Xenopus tropicalis: one gene and its partner. The protein of the gene in region 1 purifies or fractionates together with the protein of each later gene. This does not show direct contact. Links are inferred from orthologs where the notes say so. Each region holds a gene or a part of one and is shown in the gene's direction. Other genes may lie near its edges.

Evidence for each region.
Region 2: the proteins of fbxw7 (region 1) and sox9 purify together in Homo sapiens (affinity purification with western blotting; 4 studies listed by BioGRID and IntAct, with this or other methods). This does not show direct contact. The link is inferred for Xenopus tropicalis from reciprocal best matches to the Homo sapiens genes FBXW7 and SOX9.

Annotation. Positions count from the first base shown.
Region 1 is NC_030677.2:55,438,956-55,443,160, forward strand, and holds the start of fbxw7 (F-box/WD repeat-containing protein 7), read left to right. Parts: upstream 1-1,393; 5' UTR 1,394-1,522; intron 1,523-4,205. UniProt on the Homo sapiens protein: Substrate recognition component of a SCF (SKP1-CUL1-F-box protein) E3 ubiquitin-protein ligase complex which mediates the ubiquitination and subsequent proteasomal degradation of target proteins.
Region 2 is NC_030686.2:30,590,464-30,594,735, forward strand, and holds the start of sox9 (transcription factor Sox-9), read left to right. Parts: upstream 1-1,424; 5' UTR 1,425-1,716; coding exon 1,717-2,147; intron 2,148-3,894; coding exon 3,895-4,148; intron 4,149-4,272. UniProt on the Homo sapiens protein: Transcription factor that plays a key role in chondrocytes differentiation and skeletal development.

The DNA of each region.
Region 1 (4,205 bases):
CCTTCTTTCGAGAGAATCTCTGCACCATCATCTACCGGGTGTGGGGAACCAATCCCTGCAAGCTCAGACAGATTCTTACTGTTCCCTTTCACTCTGTGGAATCATGTATGTCTGTGTAAAAAATTAAATTATTAATACAAATGAATGAACTCATGTCAAATAGGCGGTATCATTTCCTTTTTAAAAAAAAAAAAAAAAAAAGGCTTTTTAGCATTAGCTCAGGTTTTATCTTCAACTCGGTATTCACCATTAGAGTGCTAAGGACACAGCAGGTAAGCACAAACTGCTAACATTCTATAGACCTGCATGTGCCAATGCAATCTCCAACACCTAAACAATTAAGGGCATTTATTTATAAAGCATCACCATTCTCCATAGCACAGGCTTAAATGTAACAATTTAACAATTTTGTTTAAAAACAAATCTTGAAATAAAGTCCCAAAAGTATAATGAATCCTTAATTCTATCCTACAGACTCTGTCCTGACTCCTTTCTGAATGTAGAAAGTATGTGCTACCCAGTGCTCATTAAAGCCCATGTGCCAAACAGACTATGCAAACTTTGTACTATTTATATTAGCATTCAGTTGCTCCAAACATTTTTTTTATCCATGCATTAGTCTTGGTCCGTGGGAATAAAGGCAATTTTCAACTCTTCTGATGAAATTAATATCATTAAAGTTATTGCTGGAGTATAGCACTAGAATGTACTGGGGACTATGATTTCTATGGCTATGGACAGTAATATATAACTATAGCAATAAGTCAAATCAACTAGACTTTTTTTTTTTTAGAGAACTGAATGAATGAGACCCTTCTCAGACAGACAGTAATATATACTGGTAACTATGACTATAACCTGAAGATACCATCCATCCCTACATCATGGGGAGAGGGCTCATTTTGGAATCTCTCGCCTCAAGGCATTGTTCCCCCAGTAGGCACCTATCCCTGGGTGATTGTGCCCCACACCTGCCTGTCCACGTTCGTGTGCTGTCCGTTCTAATTAAATTCCTGTCTCCCCCCCCCCCCCATTCTGCAGCTCGATCCTCATCGGAAGCGATATGTATAAGGCACCCCGGCTCATTTAGATCACTGTTGCTGAACACTGCAACCACTCAGTGTATGACACAAGAAACTATAATTCGGCAATAGACTGAAAATCAGAGAAACCGCTGGAGCTAATCGTACGGAGTCTCACTGACCTTACTAACGTAGGCGGTACATGCACCTGCGAGCACCAGGCTGAATACACTCCGCCGCTGCTTTCCCCACCATAACATAACTGTAGCGGCTAGTAACAGTAGCCTCCTACTTCCGTCTCCCACGTATGACATCAAGCCGCTGCGACGACTGCTGCCCTGGTTGTTGCTGAGCGACTGACGTCATCCCGGCGCGCCCTCTCTCTCCCTCTCCTCCCGTGCCTGTCTCTCGGCGAGAAGCCTTCCTTCCGTGAGCTGCGTGCCTGCCCGTGTGGGCTCCAGGAAAGGCAGCGAATGCCCCCGACTAGTCATTCCACCCAGGTAACTGGCCGCTGGCCACCGCCGGGACTTGATCGCTTTAAAGAAATAGTGTAGTGTGTGGGGGAATAATTTAAAGTAGTACATTAGTGGATGTAGATTTGTATTTACTTGCCCTGCTACAGGGACACAAAACTACCTTCTCTCTAGCTGTGTTTAACTACAACTCCCAGAATCCGTCCAGGAATTCTGGGAGTTGTAGTTTTACAGTTGACGAGCCGCACTTTGAAGACCACTGCTGTACTCAGTATAGACTTGTAGGCAACTCTTTATTGGGAGATTGTGTAGTGTGCAAGTGTTGTAAGTATTAACTCCCATATGCACAGTATAGCTCTGTGTATATTGTGTATTTATACACACACACAATTATACCTCTGTATCCTGTATATCTGTGCATACTATGAAATCCAAAACATTGCCTCAAGACTCTAGAACTACAGAAGTGGACTTTTTGGAAGTGGAATTTATTTACACCAAACCAGCCTGTAGGGGTACTTGGGCTTCTGCCTGTGACACACATTACTGAACTGCAAGTTGCCTAATTCATCCTTTTCTTGCCCAAAGTAAGTGGGTAGTACTAATGCTTAGGCATGCTGTGCTCACAGTACTAATCTTGGGGCAACACCCTATGCAAACCATTGTAAGAGAAGTCTGATGGTGAGAACATTCCCACTTAGTGCTCAGACTCATGTAAGGGACTTGTCACACTAGAACCCAGCTTTGTGTTGTCTTTAGTCTGTGCTGCTCCATTTAGCTGTTTTCATATGGGGGATTAGAGTGAAACTTTATTTAAAGATAAGGTTACTTATGTGTATAAGCTAGTGATGCACTGAATCCAGGATTTGGTGCAGGATTCTGCCAAGATCTGACCTTTTATATCCATATTTGGCCAAATCCATGCCTCTGGCCAAAACGAATTAGAATCCATCACACGGAAGTTGAAAAATTTTCATGCACGGTTCTCTTCAACCCTTCCTTATTCTAATATGCATATACAAATTAGGATTTGGTTCAGTATTTGGACAAATCTTTCGCAAACAATTCAGGGGTTCAGGCAGATTATAAAATAGTGGATTTGGTGCATCCCTAGTGTAAGCATTTACTGTAATAGGATTGAAAGGCAGAGGATGCCAAATTGCAGTAACATAAAGTATGGGATGCAATAAAACTTGAATTTTGTATAAAAGAATTTGTTATATATATAATTAACTCCAGTCTTTAGTGTGGACAAAATTTTGCCCGTCCTAAAATAAACTTTTCGTGTTGTATTCTTTCTGAATTATTTACCACATTCTTCCAAATTGCAGCTGGAAAAGCTACCTAGTTACAGGGTCACTGACCCGCAATAGAAACATGGACTATTAGACTTTAATTTGAATGTTCCTGTTTTTTGAATTATTGGTCTATGTTTTCAGAGCCTCTTCTGTTCCTAAAACATTCTGAATTCCAAATGTCTACCTGGTTGAAAGGTTAATTGAACCCTAGTTTAAGGTTTATTTAAGTGAAATACCAAAGATTAAATACAACCTGGACCCTTTATAAAGCACTTTTATTCCTGGATTATGTGTATATTAAAAAAAGCTCTTACTAAAGATGTATATACTGTTTTTAGGGCATGAATGTACCTACTAATAGCATAAATTAAGCTCCTGGTGGTCACTTGTGATTGACAGTAGATTGCTGAAATCTGCTTGTCACCCCTAGTTTTGATGATGATAATCAAAGGTGTAGTGGTTCTCTGCTCTGTTACTAGAGTGAAATAAAGTTACACCTGTTGGGGTTATGGCACATGGTGAAGGGACCTGCTTTTTTCATTTCTCTGTTAGAAGTCACTGAGACAAAACACAAAGATTGTCAGTGCTATCATTTATGGCACATGTAATGGAAACTGAGAGACTTTCTCTTTTCTGAGAGCTTTTAATGGAGCTGCTGCTTTCTGACTCTTGAAATTTGGAACTGAGGCAGAAGCAACATGCACTACACACAATTATATTTGTGTAGGCATGCCCATCACAGGGGTATGTATTGTAGGGTAATTATTTTCATTTATATGCCGTGTAATAAGTTTCCCTCTACACATTTAGTGGCAGTGCAGTTAAACACAGCCTTGTTGAACCAAATATGAGAAAAAACCCCACAAATTATTGGCATTAAATAAATGTAGAGCATTAAGATGGCTTTAGGTAATATAGAGCACATGTAGCAAAAAATTGTCTTCTGGACCGGGCCACATGTTCAGTACTCCCTATTATTAGATAACTCTTTACTAATTTATATTACAGTAGGTGGAAAATGCCTGTATTATATTTAGCAATGTAATTTACATTCATGACATGTATAGGGGTGTCTTTTTCATTCTAAGCAGTTGCTCCAGGTTTGTATAAAGTATATAAACTGCCTTCTGTGTTATTAATGCAAAGAGGCCAAGCCTTCAAAAAAGAAAAAAAGTTGTCCAGCACAGCTATAGCTGCAGTACTGCTCCCAGAATGAGAATGCTCTGTGTGGCATTTTTAGGTTTTTAGTTCAACACAAACAGTAGGAGGGCTACAGCATTAACCTTCCTCACCAGTACAACAGGCTGCATGCTGCCGGCGCTGCTACTATGGTTTACCACAAAGTGCTGTTTCAATAGTATGCATCTGTATAGTAGCAAATGATTATCAATAGAAGTGAGTAGAAACTGCAA
Region 2 (4,272 bases), on another chromosome or scaffold:
GAGATATATTCTCTACCTACATATTGTTCTGCTAATTCCTTACAAAAATCAGTTTATACCATGCACCCAAAATATATTGTATGATTTTAACTTTATGTCATTATGAAGACATTAATTTCCTGGAAGAAATGAGAAAAGACGATAGATGATAGATAGATGATGATGATAGATAGATAGATAGATGATAGATAGATAGATAGATAGATAGATGAGAGAGAGAGATAGATAGATGATAGATAGATAGATAGATAGATAGATAGATAGATAGATAGAGATAGATGATAGATAGATAGATAGATAGAGATAGATGATAGATAGATAGATAGATGATAGATAGATAGATAGATAAATGATAGATAGATAGATAGATGATAGATAGATAGATAGATAGATAGATAGATAGATAGATGATAGATAGATAGATAGATAGATAGATAGATGATAGTCTTATACCTCAGTCCTGCTCTACAGCCCCTGTGTAACACTGGACTCTCTGCTTGGCAGCCAAGTCAGATGGATTGTGCGAAATGATCGGACGAGCTTACTGTATGATGCCCTCACTCGCATTTTCAACGGTATTATGCACAACCCCATACAATCATATATAAATATATATACATATATACATATCTGCAGTTTATATGTGCCCAGCTAAAATTCCCAGCAGCCCACAAAATCAGGTAGCCCTGGAATACTGGGCGTTGTGGTGCAAAAAGTAAAGTAAAGGAGTCGGGCTGTAGAAGTGGTGGAGCTATAAGTTTATAGGAGATATGAGCTCTCTGTATACACGTCCCTATAGGTTTATAAGACCAAAACGATTGTATAGCTCTCTATAAAGGCAGATGTTTTGGAAAGGAATAAAACATGAATCAGTGTTTGGTACAAACTATTACATAAGGAGATTACACATATAGCTGGAATGGCATCACTCTTCCCAAGAGCTTACAGTCTAACAGTAGCTATTTCTAATAAAATGCCATTGGTTTGAGAAGTGCTGCTCCAGGACTTGCATGTTGTTGAATAGCTGAATTCCTGCATACAGTGCTCCATGCTATGCCTGCTGGGTATAGGTGCCAGCCAATGAGCTGTTAGGTGTATTGGAGTAGAACAAGACACATTACATAACAGCGTTTATATCCTGTATCTATTATTTGTTATTTGCTTGTTCCCCACAAAACAACTACATCTGCAGCGAGACAAAAGCAGAATTTGCTAGTAGATATCTGAAAAAGTTCAACTGCACAAATTCACTCTCTTCCCTGATTTTTTTTTTTTTTCAGCAGAGCTTTCTACTACCCCCACCCTCTCCCCTCTCCAAATCCCTACAGCCAATCCGTGCTCTCCGCTGGGGGGGGCGTGGCTCCCAGTAGAGGAGGGTATTTATGGCAGCGCTCTCCGCTTGTGGAACAGATCTGAAAGTGGAGCTGTGTGCGGGCAGAGGCAGGAGAGGGGCTTTAGCTACAGCCAATATTGCCAAAAGCCATAGCAATTCTGCATTGGGGGTGCTGACAAGTGAGCAGAGGCTGAGCCCCGTGCATGTTTGAAAGGCCTTGGAGGGCCACTCTCCCCATTGCTTTGGGTGCCTTTGCTGAAGAGCCACTTCCATTGTTCCTGTGAGAGACTGGGGTGCGGGAAGACGCGGCTCTGCCCAGACAGTGCCAGCCGCTCAACTCTCTTCGCCAACTTTCTCTCCATTCTCTTCGCACCGTTTTGCGCATGAATCTCTTGGATCCCTTCATGAAGATGACAGAAGAGCAAGATAAGTGCATGTCCGGGGCCCCCAGCCCAACAATGTCCGAGGACTCGGCTGGCTCCCCATGCCCCTCCGGCTCTGGCTCCGACACGGAGAACACCAGACCCCAAGAGAACACTTTCCCCAAAGGGGACCCGGAGCTGAAGAAGGAGACAGAGGACGAAAAGTTTCCTGTGTGCATCAGAGAGGCGGTCAGCCAGGTGCTGAAGGGATATGACTGGACCCTGGTACCGATGCCAGTCAGAGTTAATGGATCCAGCAAGAGCAAGCCTCATGTCAAGAGACCCATGAACGCCTTCATGGTGTGGGCACAGGCTGCAAGGAGGAAGCTGGCCGACCAATACCCCCATCTGCACAATGCAGAACTCAGCAAGACTCTGGGCAAGTTATGGAGGTAAGTGGCCACCTCTGTGAGCTTGGGGTTGAAGGTGTTAACATGCATGTAACCTCTTTTCATATGGTGGGAAATTGGGGAGGAGTTGGTTTTGATGCAAAATGTGGTTATTGCTGTGCGCCTCTGTATTGCGCAGCTGTATTGGCACTTTGCGCTTTGTGCGCGTCTGTAACTCTCTTGCCTGTCTGCTGGCGGCTCCCTTGGCACTGTATTCCAGGCTTGCCAGGGATGTGCTGTAGGTCTGTATCGGTACAGCCAAGATCTGCTAATTAGCTCTGGTTAGATGAATCATAGATGGTGCCAGTCTGCCAGCTCTCAGTCTGACTGTGACAGGATCTCCTTACCAGCTGAGGCCCTCTTTTGTAATTATGGTTTTGGAATAAAAGAATAAGGATTGTAATAGCGAATCTGTTTCCCAGCTTGTTGTGCTGCTGGGTTGGGGCAGAGCGAAATGCAGTGGGCGGTGTGGGTTCTGTGGGTTGTGTTCCCAGTACATAATGTAGAATGTGAACTTATGTATGGGGCAAGGTGGTGGTGGTTGTTGGATATTGCTCAAAGCACAAGGCAGGGGATAACCAATAATGCAGTTAGTTGTGGTTGGGCAGTGGGTCATGCAGGAGACTTAGCTGGTGCTAGGATCCCTATAATATATTAAAATATTAATGATGCCTTGCTATGTGGACATTGCAGAATGCAGCGGGTAGTGTAGACCAGAGTGTGAGTGATGTGATTAATGCAGAGGGTGTTATGCAGAATGCAGAGGCTAATAACTAATGTGTAAAACTGTCAGTGGTTATGCAGAATGCAATAGAAATGTGCAACTGGCAGAGGGCTCTGCAGACCAGAATGCACAACATTAAAGTGAAGGTTTTATCATTGCTCCTGCACGATTATGTGTAAAACAAACAGCAAGTATTTGCACTTTATAAACTACGGCTTCCTTGTTCTTTCTCACATAGATGCATGTTAGCTACATTTATACATGCGGTTTATGCAATAGTGGTACAATTAGGGTTTGGTGGACTCCTATAAAGGGGTATGTGCTCAGGTGGGCCCTGTACCTCTAACTCATAAATTTGTCGCTTGTTATAGGGTTTTTCCTTTTGATTGTATGCTGTAAACCATACCATTTTTATGGGTGTCAGGACCATTAAGGTTAACCCCTTGTTGCTGTTGCAAGGATCAGGTGAATAGGGCAATATAATTATAATTGCGGGCAATTAGAAAATGACTCAGACCACTTTAAATAAGCCTTTGCGCTCTTATCAGATGACTTAAATGCTTCCTGCACTATAAAACTGGATTTTTCCAGCTCAGATACTGTTAGTTTTCATTTTACCAAAGCGATGCCTCTTGCAGCACCCCACTTTAGATTACTGTTCAGGGCAGAATATGTCCTTTAAATGAATTTATGGAAATACTGGACTTTGAGAGGAGAAGGGTTTGTGATTAAGAATAGGGGGCCCAGGCAACACTGGAAACCTGGGACCCCCTTACTTTAGAAGTAGTAAAAAGTTATATAACTAGCCTTTTACTGTCTCTCTAACTATAGAATAATCCTTAAATGTGTAGGTCACAATAATATGCCCAGAGGGATCCAAGGGGTCCTTTTCTGATGCTGGGGCCCTGAGAAAATCGTCTCTAAAACCCTGGATAGGAGTGTAATTAATATGCAGTAATTAGAAAAGTCATTCTCTGTACTTTGAGATTATATGTATAATGACCACCAACCCCATTGCTTTTTCAGACTTCTGAATGAGGGCGAGAAACGCCCTTTCGTGGAGGAAGCAGAGAGGCTGCGAATCCAACATAAGAAGGATCATCCAGACTACAAGTACCAGCCACGGCGCAGAAAGTCCGTAAAGAATGGGCAGTCAGAACAAGAGGACGGCGCTGAGCAAACCCACATCTCCCCTAATGCCATTTTTAAGGCCCTGCAGGCTGATTCCCCACATTCTGCCTCCAGCATGAGCGAAGTCCACTCTCCTGGAGAACATTCAGGTATGGAGCCTTTACTTGTATTGGATAATAGAGGGTTAAATCATTTTAACATACTGCAACGCATTGCGCATTTGTTTAGCAGAGAATAGGTTAAACTGCTTGCTCCTTTACTTTGGCATTGCAG